3 linked regions of the Schizosaccharomyces pombe genome follow. Changing the gene in region 3 together with the main gene of any one other region gives a genetic interaction. Each region holds a gene or a part of one and is shown on either strand. Other genes may lie near its edges.

The links.
Region 1: mutations in vhc1 (region 3) and arg6 impair growth when combined (synthetic growth defect), as found in Schizosaccharomyces pombe (one study listed by BioGRID).
Region 2: mutations in vhc1 (region 3) and arg1 impair growth when combined (synthetic growth defect), as found in Schizosaccharomyces pombe (one study listed by BioGRID).

What each region holds. Positions count from the first base shown.
Region 1 is NC_003423.3:1,226,822-1,232,819, reverse strand, and holds arg6 (acetylglutamate synthase Arg6), read right to left. Parts: upstream 3,596-5,998; 5' UTR 3,530-3,595; coding exon 2,027-3,529; 3' UTR 1,905-2,026; downstream 1-1,904. Other genes in the region: orotate phosphoribosyltransferase Ura5, read right to left, coding at 1,094-1,741; GINS complex subunit Psf2, read left to right, coding at 3,793-4,344; nbl1 (borealin N terminal domain-containing protein), read right to left, coding at 4,513-4,654, 4,726-4,894, 4,944-5,058; CCAAT-binding factor complex subunit Php2, read left to right, coding at 5,906-5,998. UniProt on the Schizosaccharomyces pombe protein: N-acetylglutamate synthase involved in arginine biosynthesis.
Region 2 is NC_003421.2:1,611,459-1,617,986, reverse strand, and holds arg1 (acetylornithine aminotransferase), read left to right. Parts: upstream 1-3,050; 5' UTR 3,051-3,089; coding exon 3,090-3,161; exon of another isoform or gene 3,162-3,189; intron 3,190-3,409; coding exon 3,410-4,663; 3' UTR 4,664-4,940; downstream 4,941-6,528. Other genes in the region: SPOM_SPCC777.12C (ER stress response thioredoxin family membrane disulfide oxidoreductase), read left to right, coding at 1-219, 340-777; protein Gta3, read right to left, coding at 938-1,324; NEDD8-conjugating enzyme Ubc12, read left to right, coding at 1,869-1,959, 2,026-2,121, 2,204-2,292, 2,404-2,551, 2,799-2,908; Protor homolog, Bit61, read left to right, coding at 5,423-6,528.
Region 3 is NC_003423.3:1,794,071-1,803,615, forward strand, and holds vhc1 (vacuolar membrane cation-chloride cotransporter Vhc1), read left to right. Parts: upstream 1-2,876; 5' UTR 2,877-2,943; coding exon 2,944-4,684; intron 4,685-4,730; coding exon 4,731-6,142; 3' UTR 6,143-6,660; coding exon of another isoform or gene 6,661-7,188; 3' UTR 7,189-7,882; downstream 7,883-9,545. Other genes in the region: rps1601 (40S ribosomal protein uS9), read left to right, coding at 1-251, 423-470; Cdk11-cyclinL compex kinase subunit Cdk11, read left to right, coding at 1,170-2,024, 2,083-2,424; mhr1 (mitochondrial 54S ribosomal protein mL67 ), read right to left, coding at 6,661-7,188; SPOM_SPBC18H10.18C (uncharacterized protein), read right to left, coding at 8,286-8,623, 8,669-9,059.

The sequences.
Region 1 (5,998 bases), 570 kb from region 3:
AGATTTGGGTTTATCGACTACGGAGCCGATTTAGTCCGGATTTTTTCAACAGCGAGATCTCAGAAAAATCGAAAAACACTGCTTCTTACTCACCAAAAAAATCCCTAAAATCACAGTAAAGTGCTTCAGGAAATGCGGATCCTTTTTTTGATAAAAAGGAAATTTGCTTGCTTTTTTAAGATCTCACACAAACAGAACTAAATCTTTCACCCTCTCTTATGGTGAGTTAGTGGTAAACGATAAATACTTGAAGGTTACATATTAGTAACTCAATTATTGTACCATTCGATTCCACTATGTTAAACCAATTGTATTACATAAATGATAAAGAATTTCATTGTTCAACTCGAGTTTTTCTAATAAACCATTTTTATTTATAGACTGCAGTGACTACTTATTCAAATTCACATTGAATATGAGAATAAAAACATTCCAAAATTTCTTAACATTTTCTTGTCATAATAAAAAGTTAATCACCAGGCTTCTGTTTAAAGGTTTTACCATTATTTAATATTTGGTATTTCAAACACAGAGCATAAATACCCGTCGCAGAATTGAAAAATAAAATCCTAAATTTTTTATAATTGCCCATTATATGCGTCTTTCGAACGTAAATAATCATCACTAAAAACCAAATCCTACAAATTTTTACAAAAATAATACACAAATACCATTTTGTGAAACATTAATTATCCCTCAACTCAATATTTTGGTAGCTTCATTCCTAACTGTCATCTTGGAAAGATTCGAATAACACAAAAGAAGAAACAAACACAAAAAAAACAGATTCACGGAACTAATCAAAAGATAGATGGATATGTGCAAAACAAAAGCTTAACAAGTAAACCAATTTCCTTCGTCTATTATAGAGAAATTTTTGAATACCGCTAAATGCAATCGCTTTATAGAAAATTCCTTCTAATATGAGTTGTATCTATCACCACAAATATACAGATAAAAAAATTCTATAACATATGTAAATACCAACTAACTTCACTCTCTTTAAAAAAGCAAAGCTAAAAACCAAAAAAGATACTTATCCAATTATTCTCTTTCCTCCTTCCAAATTTTTAAAAGAAACATTACCATAAGCTCATTTGGCTTGGTACTGCTGTCTGTAAGCATCCATTGCCTTTGATTCAGCTGCAGTTAAGTCTGATTTGGTAAAGTCAACAATGTCGTCCAAAGTAAGGATGGAGGAAACGGGTAAGTTAAGCTCCTTCTTCAATCTACCAATGGTACTTTCGTTTACTTCGGGGTCCAGTCGCTCTTGGCGGTCAAGCAAAAGGACGATACCAGCCAATTTTACGTGCTTAGGTTCTAAGAAGGAAATTGCTTCACGAATGGCAGTTCCAGCGGTAATAACATCATCCAAAAGTAAAACCTTTTTACCTTCCATTTCGGCGCCTACAAGGTTACCTCCTTCACCATGGGACTTGGCCTCTTTGCGGTTATAGGCAAATCCATAGCTCTTTCCAGTTTTTTCATAAAGTTTGACGGCCGTTATAGCAGCCAAAGAGATACCCTTATAAGCAGGACCAAATATGACATCAAAATCAACGTTCATAGCGATAATAGTCTCGGCATAGGCTTCTGCAAGAGCGCATAAATCGGCACCATGAGTGAAATTACCAGAATTGAAGAAGTATGGAGATTTTCTGCCTGATTTTAAGGTGAAAGTTCCAAACTTCAAAACATTATGTTCTAAGGCACGACGCAACAACTCAAGTTTATAAGACATGTTTACTACTAGTTTTGTTGATAAACGTTGATACTCACAAAAGAAAAAAGCTAGTATCACCTTTTCTAAGCTCTACATGGGGGTTATGTGGGGGAATAAACAAAAATCATAACTAAAGAAAAATGCAAGTTTGTAGGCAAACTACTCAATCTATAATCTAATGTGCAAAAGAGAATTAATGTCCTATCAAAATGGACTTTTTTCCTTTTATTAAAAAGTTTGACAAGTGCTTTTGAAGAAGCGAAATAATCTTGTCTCTGATAAAGTGCAATCGTTAACTTCCACTCAATTCAACCATGTTGGCTGAATTTTATCAATAACGCTCATATACTGGTTCACTCGATCCAAATTTCTGACATGTGAGTCTCCAGTCCAGAAAAGTTTCCAAGGTGTTTTGCTTGACTTTAAGGAGCCTACACTTCTTTCAAAGTACCATTTATTGACTGGATTAGTCAGGCGAGAGCGCCATATCAACTCTTTGGGAAATAAATCAGTCATAACATTAAACATAACATCAGATATTGCTGCTGAACCCTGGGCTCCTTGTGAGACGGCAAGCTTATCAAGATAAGGGACCTTTTCATTCGTTGTTCCATCTGGTTGTTCATAAGTTACAATGGCTGTCCCTAAATAGTCCCCTGCAATAATGACTGCAGCTAGCGAATTCTTCAACCTATCTAAATATGCGTCCATATCAAGCGTTCGCTTAAAGGAGTCATTAATTAAAACCCAAAGCCTTTCCCACGAAACGGAGCCATCAGTTAGACATTTCGGACCTAGGAATGTATATACCGGTACACCGCTACGCAAAACAGTTGTTTTCGTAATAGGAGATCGATCGCGCGGCAAGGAACATGAAATAATAGAGCGATCCGTCAAAACATTGTGAATTAACGGATTTTTGTCTAAGACAGGATTTGTAAGCATAGCATCCTCAGGCGTAGTGATTAGAGCAGAGGCATCATCCGGTAACATTTTCAAACAGCGTCTTACCAAAATCAAATTTTTTCTATGATAAGGTGGAAGTGTTTTCGCTAACTCGTCAAACTCTTGAGCCAGATTGATGAGAACATGACTAGAACCAGTTTGTCGTTTAGAACATGGCATGCCACCATTTTTATCAAGAATGACGATTCGGTCTACCCAAAACCCAAAGTTTGGCTTGTGTAACGAGTAAGTTAAACCAGCAAGAACCTCATTACCATCAATTGGAACCTCAATGACGTTGGGCATTAAAATCGAGCTTGGCACTATGACCGTGTAAAGTGAAGACAGCGCTTGAAAAATACCTTGCACATTCTCAACACTAGGGCCTTCAGGGCCCAATTGACATACAGAGGAGTAGCTAGGACGGGTTAACACTCCCGCTTTCGAAAAAATTTCCGAAACTCGAATGACTCTATTTTGCTGTTGCTGTAGCTCCTCAAAGATTGAAAGTTTACGTTTTTTCGCTACGACCGTACCATTCTCCAAATATTTAAAAGGAGATGTCATGCCAATTGGATTGGAAGTGGGAACAATCACTGATTGAATCCCTAAACGTGCCAGGCTATTTATACTTCGACCAATTCCATATAGGGTATTATCACTTAAAGAATCCACATCATCAATTTTGGTAATAGAAATTCTGTTTAAAAACGAACTCGATATTGGCTGAGCGAAGGATTTCTTGTTGGGAGAGCCATCCTTAAGCGAAGAATGTTTTTGCAAAAACCCTTTCGTAGACCTACGAGATTGGACTGATTTCAATATCCAAATAAGGTCTTGTGACAATGAAGGTTTTTGCATTCAAAATTATTACCTTAAAACGAGAAATATAAAAATTTGACAATCATATACCGATGACCTAAGAGCAAGATGTGATTTAGATGAGGGTGACTATTATGAGTCCGAAACCCACCACACAAAAAATTATGCTGTAAGGAATAACAACCAATAAATGCTATAAACGAACTCCAAAATAGAAAAACAAAACTTTAAATAAAAAAAGACATTAAGCCCAAAAACGGTACTATTGATAGGCATTTTTGTACTGTTCGTTGGTGATAGAGATGGCCTTACCAAGGGAACTTGAAATTTCATTCTCACCAGAGGAAATGGAATTTTTAGCTGGCAATGAGTATATTAACATTGTTCCTTCAGAAACAATGGATCAATTGCCGCTAGTTAGCGCGACGATTCCCATTATGAAGCCTCCCAAAAAATGTCGGGTTCCTTTATGGTTGGCTCTTGAGCTAAAAAAGCAAAATTTGGCAAGGATTGTACCTCCGGAATGGATGGAAATAGGCAAACTTGAAAACATACGAGATGATGAATTGGAAAACGAGACATTCTCAGAGTTGCCTTTTCGGTGGCTAGAAACGGCGCATTTATTGTTAAACTTCTGTGCTGATGATATCGAGGATGTTGAGGATATCAGGAGGATTTTGCTGGACATTCGAGAAGCTAGACAAAGTAAAGCAAGAACGGGATTGGAAGCCATTAATGAAGTTCAACTAACTTTGGATAATTTGGGTGCAATGGAAATTAACGAAATACGTCCTATATTTCGAGAGGTGATGGACAGAATGCGCAAAATTGTTCAAGTTTCCCAAGAAGAATGAGTTACTCATCAAAAGTAAAGTGGGAAATAAATGGACTTCACATGAGAATATTTCGGTATCGTGTGGATGATGTACTTTAAAAATAATGATAATGAATCCTACGAAGTGTTTATGAATACCAACTTTGTAGTAGTGAAATTTTATCACAGTAAGCAGTAGATGAGGGTTTCACACTTGCGACTTTGAACTCGATTTGGAAACGGTGGTGCTTTTTGATGAAGAAGAAGAGGAGGATGCCACCGTTTTTGTAGGTTGTCTAGCGGACTTTTGGGAGGAAAGCTCGTCTAGATTATAAAATTCTTTTATTTTTCTGAAATAGTAATTAGCAATTAGTGTTTCCAGTAGTACGTATGGCAAAGTAAAATTTGATATTACACTTACGTTCTCCACGGTGTGGCAGACACATTGCAGGAAAGATGGTTCTTTAGATCGCGCAGATGCATATTTCGTTGAGCGCGAGGAATAGCGGCGATACGCATTTCTCCTCGCATACGAATTGTTGAAGCAAGTAAACTAGCGTTTGAGCGCAAACGTCGTACTTTATCGGAAACTGAAAAATACCCGTTAACACTTTACTACTTCCAGGTACAAAAACTTACGTTCAAATGCTAAATTTTCAAGTATATCGTTCTTGTGTTCTTGGAGAATTCGCTGTCGTACTTGACGATGTTTCGTCTCTCCAAGCTCTTCCACTCTTTTACGCTTGTTCATCATTAAGCATTATAAATTATCAAAAAACAAAACAGATGTTTGCTAACAGCTGATCAAAAGACGGTACTTCTGGGTGCGCTGAAAAGGTGGTGGGAATAAGAGTTGTTGTATAAACAATAAATCTTCAACTAATATGTAAGTAACATCGTTACCTAATACTCAATATGTAAACAAACGTTAGAAAGGAGAGGATTGCACAAAAAAGCGTACCCAAAAGATATTTTATAAATTGAAAGAAGAATAATGACCTAGAATTAGAAAAAAGCAGCAAGTTTACAAAATAAAAGCGTTGAAACACATCACTTTAAAAGGTACATAAGAATTGATGATGCTTACTTCTAAGTAAATTATTAATAATATCAAATAAAAAAATATTGTACGAGGTAAAAGTCTCCCTCTTCAACTACATCGCATACAACATTGAAAACTGTTTAAAAAAGATATTTGGTATAACGTGTTCCAGTGCCATACGCTACAATGCAACCTCTGTTGTATTATATTTCGACTGTTAGCTTTTTTTTAACCCAATTCATAAGAAAATAGTTATGCCATTCAGTTAGTGACATTATCATATGTGTACATAAGATTATATATTCGTTTGTGACAAAATGCACTGCAAGCCGTCCTCACTATTTGCAATCCTGGAAAGATCGACAATAATCGTTATACACATTTACCGATATGTAAAGAATAGCTGCTTACCATTGGTAGTCGCTAGCGCCTGCGGAGTTACAAACCACCTAAACCAACCAACCGACCAACGAGACGAATATACCGTAACGAGCAGAATTTTGATTCCTGAGATCCTCCCAATAGTTAGAGCAATTGAAATAAGAATAGTCATTTTCCAATGAATCCATATGAGCCGGTCGAGGGGCTTTACGTGAATGCAAAGCAATACCATCGAATTTTGAAACGTAGAGAAGCTCGCGCAAAGTTAGAA
Region 2 (6,528 bases), on a different chromosome or scaffold from region 3:
AGTTGTGAAGGAGATGAATCAGCTGCCATTGAAGCTATGAATGTCTTACAGGTACCGTATGAAAAATACAACACAGACCCAGTTTGCGCTTTTGACAATTCCACCGTTGTCGAACTTTCAGATAAAACCTGGGATCATGTCATTGAATCTGGCAAATGGTTTGTGCAGTTGACTGCTGAAGGCTGTGCTAACTGTACTCTTGGAGAGCTACTTTTTAACGTAAGTAATGGACTGCATTTAATGTTGTCCAAATGCTCTTGTTATGAGATTGAATTTTGAGCCTCGGAAATAAATTAAACCATCTTTGGATTTAATTGAATCTGTACTAACTAATTTTAGGACCTTTCGCATGCTTTTCATGAAAAATATCCGGATGTCCACTTTGCCCGTGTTTACTTGAGCAGTAGCCTCGAACTTTCTGTACGCTTACTCATTTCTCGGATTCCTTCTTATTATTTCATCGATAATCAAAATTTCTACCGTGTTTCTCCTCAGGTTCTTCCCAAGAACAAGGCAATCGCCTTATATGAAAAAGACGGGTTCAAAAGTATGAAAAAAGAGCAAGGTTTTTTCTCTGTTAACGGGCCCTTGAAGTCCTTTTACTGGGTCTTTGGAAAGGCACTTGCACTTTACGGACACTTAAGTCAAAAATACACCCCTCTTGGAATGAATGTAGCTATTTTTGGGATCTCTGCCTACATAATGTATCGCTCTAGCAAAAAAGCGAAACAAAAACAAGCCGCTGCTGCTGCCGCCGCCGCTGCAAAAAAGAAATAAGCTATGTGGAAAATACTATTAGTTTTTGATAATATCAATTTTTTGAATAATTATACGAGAGTTTGTTACATGTTCTATATGTAAGGCACCGCTCTAGTAAAGGTTTATACCCTATTTGTTTCATTCCTTCCTTTTTTAACAGAACGTAGATTTTCCAACCTTATTGCTTGTTTGGAGATTCATTAGAGGAATCATCTTTTAGCTTAGAATAAACGGCAAAGTACTGCCCGTCTCTTTTCTTAGCATTCTGAAATACATTCCACGGCTCTTGATCGGGTAATGATGGTAGAGATTCCGCATTAATAGCATGATTCAAAGTACGAAATGGTTCCTTAATGAAGGATGTATCAAGTCTCTCAATTGCATGCATTTGAATGATTCCTTCGTTGAGTTTTAGAATTGTTCTTTCATTCTCTTCCTTAGAGTCTGCTTCACGAAGACCAACGAGCCTCAGCAAATGACCATACTCAGTTAAGCCAATTGGTTTGGGTGGATTTCCTTGGAGAATTCGTTTAAGTGAAACCTTTGAAGGTTTCAAAAATGGCATAGTGAAAAGGAAAATAGAGCTAATTACAAGAGAAAAATATAGTACAGGTTAAAAAAAAGATTCAATCTTAAACACTTTGTAAGTTTTTCAAATGCTTTGAAACAGCTGTCGAAGTTGTAGTCGGTTCCTACAATTTAACGACTAGGTTGTAAGTCTGGGTTTTTTTAGAATTAATAGTAAAGGAATATATTAAATCATTCGGTAAGTAAAGTCAATATAATCAGCTTCTCTAATTAGGAGAACTATTTTTCATTACTATGATAACCGTTTCCCATTCCCTAAATTTACGACATCCTGCGATGTCTGTATATAACTTTACATAGCAGTGTTCCAGTACGTAATATTGTTGAATGCTTGCGTAGAGTAACGACTTTATTAAAATTGGTTATTGCAATTGAATAAGGTAATATAAAATGCCACATTATTAGCACTTTAGGTGTCTACATGTTTCGCTATTTTTTAATGATGTATGAGAGTATTGTTTATACCCAAAATTGTAAGCGCATTTTCCATCCTTCTGCCTATTACAAGAATCGCGTAAATCATGAGAAAAATTTGGGAATTAAAAAAGAAAGAAGCTCAAAAAGAGAAAAATGCGTCAGGGATTAGTCCAGCACAAATCCGAATCCAAAAAGGTGCGACTCATCATGTTGATAACTTTTCGCGATTTACTCGAAACTAACCATTTTCGATGAATTTAGACGTTACAGATTTAGAAATCCCATCTACGATGTCTACAAGCTGGCCAGATCCTATAAAATTGAACGTGCTACATTTAGAAATCCGGCCTGACGAAGGTAAGTTTGTGATTCCGCATGAAAGAATATTTGGTGTAGACTTTTTGAGACTATTATTTTTTATTTTGATTAACATGAAAAGGGTATTACAAGGGTGGGAAATTTAAATTTCGAATCCAAATCGACGATAATTATCCTCATGATCCTCCTAAGGTTAAATGTCTAAACAAAGTATGTCAGTCATGCTCTAAATTAGAGTTGCAGCTTATGGTATATTTTTTGCATTTAAGAAAATAACCATTATAACATGTTTTGAACCCTTTCGTTCTGACCTACTGTTAGATCTATCACCCAAATATCGATATTGAGGGAAACGTATGCCTCAATATTCTGCGTCAGGATTGGAATCCAGTGTTGAATTTGAATTCTATTTTGGTTGGATTGCAATTTTTATTCTTGTCACCAAACGCAGAAGATCCACTCAACAAAGGTAGGTTAATTACAATTTTTTGGGGGGCAATGAACTATTTCTTGTTATTGCATTACAAGGAAATGATTATTCATCTCTTAACTATCATTTGATACTCATTTTTTCTACGATCCTTTATTATGGGATTTATAAGGTTCTTTACTGAGGACAATGATTATGATAAGCAATTTTAATATAAGAAATCTGGTTTGCTCCTTAACAAATTTTCTAGATTTATTTAACTATACTAACAAACGATATCTTTTAGAGGCGGCGGCTGATTTGCATAAAGACCCTCAAGGATTTGCATCTCGTGTGCGTACAGCCATGAAAGGTGGTCTTGTGAATGGAATTTCTTTTGACAATGTCATGGCTTAATTTTTCATCAATCTAAATCAATTCGATAAAGATAACCGACATAGATTAGACGACTGTCATGAAAATATTGATGTGTTTTAAATCTCGCTAAATCAGTCACGATTACGATGAACTTCCGATATCAGTATAAAAACACATAACCAGAACCAAACCCCCCTAATAAGCCCGTAACTGCTTTACAATGTTTCAAAGACGATCACTTCTCTCTGTTCGTTCGTCTGGTTCCCAAATCGCCTTTCGTCGATTTGTCAGCGTAAGTACAAGTTTGTTGATAGAGTATGCATTGTAAGTGCAACTGAACATACGATGGCAAATAATTAGACTATCATCTAATTCTGATTGTTTTCGAGAATTCTGTACTTTGCTCTTGTTTTTAGACAAGTATTGATGTTGAGAATGCTTCTTACTGACCCAACAAAATAAATCTTCATTTGTGCTTTCATACTGCCTCATACAGTACTAATTTTAATATTTCTTAAACTGCTTATTAACCAAGTTTAGCTTACCCACAAAGATCCAACTCCTGATACAACCAGTTGCAATATTATCAAGAAGGAAGGGGCGAATATTATATCAGTTTATGCACGCTATCCAGTCGTAGCTGCTAAAGGTGAGGGCTCCTATTTGTTTGACAAGGAAGGTCGTAAATACATTGACTTCACCTCTGGCGTAGCTGTTACATCTTTGGGTCATGCTCATCCTGAAGTTGCTAGACTTGCCGCTGATCAATGCTCCAAATTAGTCCATAGTAGCAACCTTTTCTACAACGAGCCTGCCATTGAGCTATCTAATGTCATTAATAATTCTTTGGCAAAAAATAGCGGTATTGCTGGCCCCACAAAAATTTTCTTTGCCAATTGTGGTACTGAGGCCAATGAGACAGCCTTGAAGTTCGCTCGTAAGGCAGCGTTTGAGAAGTATGGAGAAGGGAAGAGTCAAATTGTTTACTTTAATAACTCTTTCCACGGCCGTTCTTTGGGATCTCTTAGTATCACTGCGAACCCCAAATATAAACGTGGTTTCCAACCATTACTTCCTGATGTCGTCCAAGCCGTCTATAATGACCCTGCATCCATAGAGCAATTTGTCAATGACAAAACTGCGGCTGTTATTGTCGAGCCCGTTCAAGGTGAAGGTGGTATTTGTCCTGCCAAGCCTGAATTTTTGATTGCTTTGCGCAAGGCCTGTGATAAGGTTGGTGCTTCTTTAATCTATGATGAAATTCAATGCGGACTTGGTCGCAGCGGTGATCTTTGGGCCCATAGTATCGTTAAGGATGTCGCTAGTCCCGATATTATCACAGTTGCCAAACCTTTGGCTAATGGTCTACCTATCGGCGCCACCATTGTCTCCAGTAAGATCGCTGCTGAAATTCACCCTGGTGAACATGGCAGTACTTTCGGAGGTAATCCTGTTGCTTGCCGTGTAGGCACATTCTGTGTTAATGAATTAGGGTCATCCAAGATTCTACAAAACGTTAGAAAGCAACACAAGGCTCTTACTTCACGTTTTGATGACTTTGTTGCCAAATACCCTAATCTTATTCGTGGATATGCTGGTCGTGGTCTTCTTCTTGGTTTGCAATTTACCGAGCCCCCTGCTAAATTTATTGAGCTTGCTCGTCAACAAGGTCTTTTACTCTTACCAGGTGGAAACAACAACACCCGTGTCCTTCCTAGTTTGAATGTTAAAGATGAGGTTATTGCTAAGGGTTTGGATATCATGGAGAGCACTTTGAAGGCTTTAAGTAAGTAAAAGTGTATGTTTTCGTAGACTTGGTCATTGAATGGATTGGTTATATAGTGCGATAAAAAGTGATTATTACGAGAAATCTTGTTCCTCGAAAACATATATTAACCTTGCTCTCATTTGCCAACCAAAAAATTTTTTGATAGGGGGGTTACGAAAAGCTTAGCTGGAAGCTTTACATTGTAAATACTGGTTTTCGTTATTCCCTTTCTTTTCATAATCAATTTTGTTTACATTTTTTGTTAGAAAATTAGATATATATTGTTGTTTTTCATCTACTAAACTGAATTGTCGTAATATGTACCGTAAATACTCTGTCAAATGATAGTAATTCACAAAATCAATGTTTTTTTACTGCGTTTTCTATTACTAACTTTTAAAAAGTTATATAGCAAATAACATTCCATGTTTTCTTTTAGCATTAACTATTTTTTTCTTTGGCATACAATTATTATATCAACATGCTATTCATTCAATTCACATTAGAACGATATCGTTATAAGGAATTCTTAATCAATTTTTCGTTTCTATATTTTATCTTAATTTAAGGCGCACATCGATACTTTAGCAAAATACCACCATATTCAAAAATAAACAAAATTTTTTATCTTTCTAAAAAATATCATTTTTTTAAGTAAGTTTAATCATTTTATAATGATTGAACAATGAATATCATCTCATGCTTATTTTGAAGAATCGCATTTCGCGTAACTAAAAGCAAATTTCTTGGATACCCTCAGTACATTTCCAAAAATATTACTAAAGATGGTAGGGAGGGGATCTTTTTCATCTACCTCGAGCGCCTCATCCATTAATTGGATTCCAAAAAACACTAAAACTAGCATTGAAAGTGTTTCTAACACTATTTCGTTGTCGGAAAATGGGCAGAACCAAGACTTGGAGACTGTTACTACTAAGGAATCAAACGTTGGCGACTCTGACACGACTGAAAACATTAAAAGTCCGTTTAATGGACAATGGCCATTTAGCAGAAGATCTAGTCAAAGTAGCAGTCATCCGGTTTTTGAGGAAACACATTGGAGTAAGCATTCCAAGCGCCCAGGAAAGTTGAACGTTTTAACGCCTACTAGCCCTTCTAATGTTAATGCCGAAGTTCAAAGTATTTCTACGAAAACTCAATTATCGCTGCTTAACCTCTCTCCGCATAAGCATAAAAAGCCTAAAGATGGTTTAGATCTTTCTGCTTTGCAGAAAACGCTCAACGGGTCTCGAAATTTCTTAAGAGGAAGAAGAGACGCTGGGGGAATTTTTGGCGCTTCCATCCCACAATCACTTGTTACAAATCAAATAATCAATGGCTTCGGTGCAGCCTCTCTTGCATTTGCTAAATTGGGCAAAGTTCGCTCTCCTTTAGAAGGTCGCTTTAACCTGGTTCCCATATCCGCGGATGAAACTTGGCTTATTGTGGAATCCGAAGTTTGTAGTTTATATTCGGGTGAGGCTTTGCACTATTCTCTTGAAGATTTGAATGGAATTCTTATATTACATTTACAAGCTCTTATCCGTGATACGAAGATGAATGAGTTTGTTGGACACTTGGAGACACTATTCCGTAAGGCTACCAAGTGCCTTTCGGACAGTTTATCGCCTGTTCCAGAAGAATTATTTTTGAATCGTATCATAGAAACATGGCTGTTTTTCTTTTCTTCCGTATTGCCATACGTTCAAGGTGTGTTTTTACCTATAAAGACAAAATTGTTTGATGAACAAGAAAAAACACAATTACCCTATGAAGTAAATGAGTTTTGTTCCACAAATAGGGAAAAACTAAATGTCCATCGTCTTGCATTGATGACATTTCGCGATTATATGGTTTTGCCAATTGCAAATCGGATACAAATCTGTATTGG
Region 3 (9,545 bases):
GCATGAAGGTCTACGAGCCTATCTTGGTCGCTGGTGCCGATAAGTTTGCCGGTGTTGACATTCGTGTCCGTGTCTCTGGTGGTGGTCATGTTTCTCAAATCTATGCCATTCGTCAAGCCATCTCCAAGGCCATCGTTGCTTACTACCAAAAGTTCGTTGATGAACACTCCAAGGCTGAGCTTAAGAAGGCTCTCATTACTTATGACCGTACTTTGTTGGTTGCTGATCCTCGTCGTATGGAGCCCAAGAAGGTATGTGCTAAACGAAGAGAAGTTCATGACATCTTCGGAATCGATTTCTTGCACGATTTATTGTGTTGTCGAACTTGTTCCGTGTACAGAATGTTAATGATACTGTATCTCTCGATACGACATAACATTTGTTTCTTTTTTTTAGAATGTGTTACTAATGATTTTTTTTAGTTCGGTGGTCATGGTGCCCGTGCTCGTCAACAAAAGTCTTACCGTTAAAATGTGTTTGGCTGTTTGGCTTTTTTCCATTATGTATCTATACAATTGATTTATCATAAATATTGTTTGATACTGTGTACGAGCCAACCGTTGGTGTTTTCGTAAACCCTTATTCATAATTCTTCGGTATTGACATATATGAAACAAAAGTTCAGTGTACGAGAAAGCGACTGTAGAAATGTATTTAGAGATTTTAATAGTACTTATAGTTTCTATAGTGCTGTCGTGTAATTGCTTAGTCGATTAGGTGTAGTGGAAATTCCTTGTTCGGTATTGTAGGAATATCAAAATGGTAGATTGAACGAACGAGTTAGGTGAGTAGGGCCGCCGCCATATGATGGATTGTGTTTTTTGAGTGTTCAAAATTAAACAATTAAAGATTATTTAATTCAAGGTTGCTTCTTCTTTTTTAGTGTTTTGAAAATCTCTCACTATGCACTGTGCGACTGCACTTACGCAGGTCACTTCTTACTTTTTTAAATATCACATGTCGAAACGGCTTGCTGAAAAAAAAATAGGAGTTTTGATCATTTTACTTTTCTGCTAATATTCAGTTAGAAATCCCACAGTGGTTATCGAGCAATGTCATTTTAATTGAGAACAAACAAGCACCGAAAAATAAATCCTTATTTGAAGTAGATAGTTTTGCAAATCTAACGATAAATTTACTTGATAAAATTTGAGTGATTAGACACCATTATGGCAGGCTCCAAGTGGGAGACAGAAGAAACGAATCAATTCGCAATTGAAAATCAAAAATTAGAAGAGGAATGGCGTAAAAAGCGACGGTTAGAAAAAAAAAGAAAAAGAAAAATATTAGAGGAAGAAGAGAAAGCTGAAGAAAGAAACATTGATGCTTGCAGGCTCTACTTGATGGGGAATACACCTGAACTTAAGTCTTGCAATTCTATTGATGATTATGAAATATTGGAAAAAATTGAGGAGGGATCTTACGGAATCGTTTATCGAGGTCTTGACAAAAGTACGAATACCCTGGTTGCACTCAAAAAGATTAAGTTTGACCCTAATGGAATTGGATTCCCTATTACTAGTCTGCGAGAAATTGAATCACTATCCAGCATTCGACATGATAATATTGTAGAATTGGAAAAAGTGGTTGTTGGTAAAGATTTGAAGGATGTTTACCTAGTTATGGAGTTCATGGAACATGATCTCAAAACATTACTTGATAACATGCCCGAAGATTTCTTACAATCTGAAGTCAAAACACTGATGCTTCAACTTTTGGCTGCCACGGCATTTATGCATCACCATTGGTATCTACATAGAGATTTAAAGCCTTCTAACTTGCTAATGAATAACACCGGCGAAATCAAACTCGCCGACTTTGGATTGGCAAGGCCAGTATCAGAACCCAAATCCTCTTTGACACGCTTAGTTGTGACTCTTTGGTATCGTGCTCCTGAACTTTTGCTTGGTGCACCAAGCTATGGTAAAGAAATTGACATGTGGAGCATTGGATGTATCTTCGCTGAAATGATTACTAGGACTCCTTTGTTTTCTGGGAAAAGTGAGTTAGATCAATTATACAAGGTATGCGATTTTTGATTTTTTATTCTTACCTTAAAAAATTCCTAACAATAATATTAAGATATTCAATTTGCTCGGTTATCCGACTAGGGAAGAGTGGCCCCAATATTTTCTTCTTCCTTATGCAAACAAAATTAAACACCCTACGGTCCCTACCCACTCTAAGATTCGTACTTCTATCCCTAATTTAACGGGAAACGCGTACGATTTATTAAATCGACTTTTAAGTCTAAATCCTGCGAAGAGAATATCTGCCAAAGAAGCACTAGAACATCCTTATTTTTACGAATCTCCCAGACCCAAGGATCCTAAATTTTTTCCTACTTTTCCTAGTAAGGCCAAAGGTGAATCAAAAGAAAAAAACGTGTTTCAAAGTTTTCGTAGTGCATCTCCAAAGAAGTGATTTTGATGAAGTGAATATTGGCATTATAATACGTGGAAATGTAATTGGCCTTAATTTACACTACTTATATTACTAATATTTAGATATTTCTTTATTTTTTCCGTTTAGTCCCCAAATTGCAATTGTAATTGTAAACATTTTATGATATCATTGATTTTCGATTTATGGCCATTTATTTGAGTAAAATTTCTCCCTTTCTACAAAACGTTTCACTCATAGTGTTCAGTAGTCCTATTTTTAACTGAGGTAAGTGTATTCGAGCATCGATGTTTTCAAGCAAGCTGGTAATGAACTTTCATGAATTGATAGTAATCTGTTGCAAAGTATTGTCAAAAAATTTTTCTTATATCACTGCTGATGGTTTTACTATATCTATGGGACCCCTGTTTCTATTACATGACTACACTCACTCTTCCTTACCATTTCCAATTTTTTTAGTATTTAATAACCTTGACAGTTCCTACCACAAAATTATTGCCTTCCTTATTTTATATTTAATGGGGATAATTTTTTGTGATTATGGCAAGACTTTTAACTAAATCAAGTCAAGTATTTGATTTTTTGGCAGATAGATTATCAGTACGAAAATCCAGACGATTTTGGGAAACACAGGAAAATTTAGAGTCTTCCACACCTTTATTACAAGAACCACAACAAAGTTATCGTAGTAATAGTTTTAATGAATTACCTCCGTTGTCTAGAAGTGTAACGTTTGCTGAGAATGAACAACCAAATGAAGCGGTGAAATTGGGAACGTTTGAAGGTTGTTTCATTCCAACTACTTTAAACGTACTCTCCATCCTTCTTTATTTGAGATTTCCTTGGATTATTGGAGAAGCTGGTGTTCTTAAAACATTGCTGATGTTATTTATTAGTTATGCGGTAGGTATATTTACAAGTCTATCGATCTCTGCAATTTGCACGAACGGTATGGTACGTGGCGGAGGTGCATATTATGCGGTTTCTAGATCTATTGGCCCCGAATTAGGAGGCTCAATTGGTTTGATATTCTATGTTGGGCAGATACTGAATACTGGTATGAATATTTCTGGTTTTGTTGAGCCCATTATAAGCATTTTTGGAAAAGAATCAGGCACTATTTCACAATTTTTACCCGAAGGATATTGGTGGGTCTTTTTGTATACAACTTGTGTCCTCGCAATGTGTTGTATTTTATGTTGTTTAGGTTCTGCCATTTTTGCTAAGGCCTCAAACGCCCTTTTTGTGGTTATAATACTCTCAACAATATCGATACCAATCTCTTCGATATTTGTTCATCCTTTCAAAGATCCTTCCTTACTCGTTCATTTTACGGGATTAAAATGGTCTACGCTGATGAAAAATTTAGCATCTGCTTACACAGAAAATGAGAAAGGAACAGGTTATGAATCTTTTAAATCTACATTTGGCGTATTTTTTCCTGCAACGGCAGGTCTACTGGCTGGCGCAAGCATGTCTGGTGATCTTAAAGCACCTTCTCGTTCTATCCCTAAAGGTACTATATCTTCTCAAGCAACGACCTTTTTGCTTTATTTGCTAGTAATTTTATGTGTTGGTGCCTCTGTAACTCGTACGGGACTTTTACTTGATATGGACGTTATGGAACATATTAGTTTACATCCTTTATTCATCATTTCTGGAATTCTTTCTAGTGGCGCCTTTAGCTCGTTTATGGGTATATTTGGAGCTGCAAAGCTATTACAGGCAATCGCGCGAGATGATTTAATACCCGGAATGTTTTTCTTTGCAAAGGGTTCTAGCTACGATGATATTCCTTATGTTGCAATTGGAGTGACTTACTTAATTACGCAAATCAGTTTATTTTGGGACATCAATATGCTTTCTTCGATGATTACAATGACTTTTCTTCTGACTTTTGGCTTTATCAACTTATCGTGTTTTCTGTTACGAATTAGTAGTACCCCAAATTTTCGACCTACCTTTCGGTATTTCAATAGACGCACTACACTGGTGGGTACCATCTTGTCATTTGGCGTAATGTTTTACGTTGATCGCTTGAATGCCTTTATCTCATTTTTAATTGCAGGAATTTTGGTGGTAGTCATATATTTCACATGTCCTCCTAAAAATTGGGGTGATGTGTCTCAAGGCATCATTTATCATCAACTTCGAAAATACTTGCTGCAAACTAATAAAGCAAGAGAAAATATAAAGTTTTGGAGGCCTCAAATTTTACTTTTGATTAACAACCCGAATCGGTCAGAAAATGTTATCCGTTTCTGCAATTCATTAAAGAAAGGCATGTATACCGACATTTTTTGACAATACTAACCCATAAATTATAGGTTCCCTCTATATCTTAGGGCACGTTATTGTATCCGATGATTTTCAGGCTAGCATGGATGATTTAAGAAAGCAGCAACGTCTTTGGCATCAGTTTGTCCTTGATCGAGGTATCAAAGCATTTGTTGAACTAACTATTGCTCCAGACGAAGTTTGGGGTATCCGTGGTCTTATATCTTCTGCAGGCTTGGGGGGAATTCGTCCAAACATAGCTGTGCTAACATTTATTAATACGAATTATCGTAGACATCGTATATACTCGGGTTCTTCTTTCTCTCTTGAGAATACTAGTGAAGAATCAGAATCTGACAGTAAAAAAGAATTTGTGGAGCATGATATACTACCTGTGAAGTGGGTACAGATATTGGAAGACATGCTTGTTGGTTCGGTGGACGTTATGGTAACTAATGGGTTCGATAGACTTAATTGGCCAAAAAGAAAGGGAGAAAAGCAATATATAGATATGTTTCCCATTCATAGAATATCAGGTGTGGGGTCAGAAGTCAATGAAAGTACACCAACGTTTGCGACGAATTTCGAGACGTATACTATGGTTTTTCAACTTAGTTGGATCCTTCATACAGCTTCAGATTGGAAACAAGGTTGTAGGCTACGGCTTATCACTCTTGTTGAATTCGAGAATGAAATAGAGGCAGAACGAGAAAGCATGCATCAAATGCTAGAAACGTTCCGTATCAAAGCCGACGTTGTAGTGCTCTGTCTTGCTGCAATGAATTTGGATGCATATAGGTACATTGTCAAAAATGAGCATGTGAGACCTAGCAAGTCTTCCGAGCTTGAAAACTTACTGAAAGATGACTCGTGGTGGCAGGAAGAAAAGAAAAGAAGAGGAAATACTGTAGATTCCTTAGGACCTATTCGTTTTCCACGTCGTATGTCTGGTTATAACTTTAGATCTGCCAGCTTTGATAAGAGTGCTCCACCTTTAAGTGTGCCATTGAGTTTCCGCCTTGGGCCACATATGCATTCAGTAAAGTCGTTTGAGACTGAATCTTCTTTCGGAAACCGTTCTTTATCACCAAAACAAGAAAATAGAAGAACTTATTCTGACAGTACTATTGAGTCATCTCTGATGCCCAACGTGGTCCGAGAAGATAGTTCATCTGATAGACTAGCACCAAAGAAAAAAATAGGAAGGGACTATTCTAAAGAGAAGTTGACGTTTAACGATTTATCCTCGAGATCTCAATACATAATTATGAATGAAATCGTGCTGAAACATACTAAAAATACTTCTGTATTGTTTACTGTTTTACCAGCACCTTTGGCCGACACTCATAAGAGCTTTCGAAAAAGCGAGGAATATGTTGATGACTTATTAATATTTATGGAAGGATTACCTCCTTGTGCATTAATCCACTCTAAGAGTTTAACTATAACTACCGCTCTTTAACGATTTATGGTATTTATGTCTTTGGTTTATAAAGTCTTTTCTTTTGGCATTGTTATAACTATTTAAATATTTGGTCCATGATTTCTATTTTAGATGCTAATATTTTTTTTTTATTCTGGACCAAACTTTAAACAAAAAAAAAACGAGGCAATAAAGTGATGAGTTAATCTTGCATATATTTCATAGGAGCTCGAAAACTTCAAAATGGTAAAATAATAAAGATACGAGTATTTGGTGTCGATTTGTATTAAATTTATCTTGTCTTGAGTATCTAGCCAATACTCTCGCATTGAAGTACAATGATAAGCTAAGGAAGCTGTCCAGTGCAATACACTGGATACACTGGGAAGAATTCGTAACCGTCTTTAGTAAAAAGGACTTTATCATTAAGTAAAAAAGATTGAGCTAATATGAATATGTGTTAGCTTATACTTCATATAATGCCCTTTAAGAAAGCCTAAAAATGGATGAGGGGTGTTTTTGAAGGAAGAAAGTGAGAGAAGTAATGATATTATGCTTCATCTAGCTTCGTCTACGGTTGTTTTTTCACGGAAACCTCGCGAGAGTTTAATTTCCTCTGAATCAATCTGCACACTAGGGGGCCAATCTGCATATTCACTATCGGATTTATCACTCAGTTGCAAACGAACGGAATTTTCGGGAAATTTTTCTTTATTTAAAATATCTGCCAAGTCCGCAATCGTGTTAGGAACCTCTTGTCGCATTATTTTTCTTCTACGAACGGGTATAGGCAATTTCAAAAGGTCACTAGTCAGTGGTTGAACAGAACGATATTTTCGATAGTTTAACAGTTGCATAAAAACAGATTGAAACATTGATTCATTAGGAAATTCGACTTTTAGTAAAGGAACCCAATGGTCTTTACGGAGCTTAGCGGGTCGCATACCATTTGGAGCGACTGGCTTTTGAAGTGGGTAGGGAAGTTGAAACAACGCAGTCTTTTTTAAAACATTTCCTTGAGATAAAAGTACCTGATTCGTTTGAATATGCCTAAATATATAGAGATACTTGTTCTTTTCAAGCATTCTTTCCTTTTACGAGTACAGATTGGCTGTTTACATATATGCTTGTAAGAGATGCGAAGTTTGTTAATAGCGCGTCCGCGTATAAACGTTGTGCCCAATAAACACATATCGTTTGCTAGCACAGATGTTAGGCAGCATTGCGCGTTGAGCAGCCAAAAACAGTAAATGTTTTAATGATACGGTGAGTGACGGAAAATTTGAATACTGGTCAGCTACGCAGTTTAATATCTATTTAAAGTGTCGCTCACGTATTTCGGTATCTGCTTAACGATACTTAAAGTGCAATGAATCTCTCTGTGACCTAATATATTATGTTACACAGTTAATATAAGCAGCAATTTCAATGGGTGTTCTCTGAAATAAATTATATTGTTACCTATGGACATAGCAAAAAATATTACTTTTCGCTTGGGCTGAATGTTGGTAGATTTTGAATACGAAAGATTTCATATAATACAAATTGAATAATTTTTTAATTCTTTTTGTAAAGAAATTGCTACTGACCAGGAATTGGGAAATCGCATTATTTAAAATAGGTTTTCGCTCTACACCAAATTGATTTTTCATTTTTATTTGTTTTAGAAACAAGTTTGAACTTATATTTCCTGTATATACTGTATTTTAAAGCTCCGAACACTTGAAAATGATATATGGAATCCTCATTTTATGCATTAAACAGAAACTAAGGTTAAATCACTACTTTGCGTCTTTTGAGTAATGCCTTACTTGTTCAATTTTTTAATTCGCAAATCTTACAAAGTCATAATTAAGGATTGTATATCAATTTGGTAAAACAATAAAGAGGATGATTAATTTATAATTGACAACCAGATTCATTAGTTAAATGACTTTTCCTAGCACCACAGAAACACATCGTGTTTACTCTATAACAGAGACAAAAATGTATGTATGGAAAAAGAGTGATGACTGTCATCGGAAATGATTAAGTGACAATGCGTATAAGGTAATAATACAAGAAATAGAAATAAAGGGGAAAAAAGGAGCTTCTGCAGGAAAGTAAGAAAATTAGTAATGAAATAAAAAAGACACTCGCAGCTGGTTGGCAGCCCCTTGATTTTTTTTTCTAGCCATGACTTTTAGCTGCTGCCCGATTCTACATCTTTAGAAGTGTTGCAATCGGTTCCCTCAGCCATTGTGTTGTCACTTGCTGGCTCTGTGGTAATTGCTTGGCCTCGCATAGACGACATTTCAACGTCGCCAGTCTCTTCATCTTGTTCTATTACTTCGAGCCCGAGAATAAACAACAGTAAGGATAAAATAATATGAGCCAAACCTTGAATTGCTTTAGCTACATATTTAACTAGGCCTGCAATCGTTTTAGCTACATGTTTAGCTAGACCTTCATTCGCTTTAGCTACAGATGGTGCATAAACATAAGCTTCTTCAAACGCTAATTTAATTAACGAAAATGAAACTAGAAAATCGTTAGCCATGAATTCAAATCATCTCAAAAACTTACAATAAACAATAATCACTGTCATCACGTATGTAAATATTAACACTATAGTTTCAATAACATATTTAACCACAGAATTAAGATCCGCCAATGCCTGATCGAAATAATTATAAAAATTATGATAAAGCAATAAAGTAAGAATGAAAGGAAGGAAGATATGAAATATCGCATATCTAGCTTGTGTAAGTCGCACATTTTCCGAACGCTTTCTTAATCTAGCAGGTGCAGCCATTGTATTTTTTTTTCGTAACGATGGTTGTGTTAATGTTGAGTTTTGTTTGACAATTGGATTGTTTACATGATTATTGACTGAATATGAAGGACAAGAATGTAAACAACCCTTCTCCAAATCATTCCAAACTTCATTGTATTGAGGTAACTTTTCGTCTGGCATTTTGAAGAGCCTTTTACCAATAGTGATTATATACGTTTGAGTTCCAACTTGAACATTGCAAAATAAAATGCGAAATTAAAATATAAAATAGATAAATAGATCAAAACCAAACACTTGAATAGCCTAAAAATCCACGCGTTCTAAGCATCCAACAAAAAGAGATGGCTCTTGTTAAGGAATGAAATTGAATCATTGTGCTGTCAATATCAATTTACGCACAAGTTAGCATTAATTAGGCACTGCGTACCAATACGCTATAATAGCGATGCCTTGCTTCGTTTTATCATACTTTGAAAAGTATGCAACACTAGTTATTAGACAGTGGGCTACACTAAAGACCGCTATAATGTTTTTGCATCGCGAGTTACTATTATGTTACATGTTTTATTTACTCTACTAGTTTTGCATGAATAGTTTATCCAAGATATTAAATTACCAATTATAATAAGATATTTACCAGTAACAATAATACTGATTTTGAATACT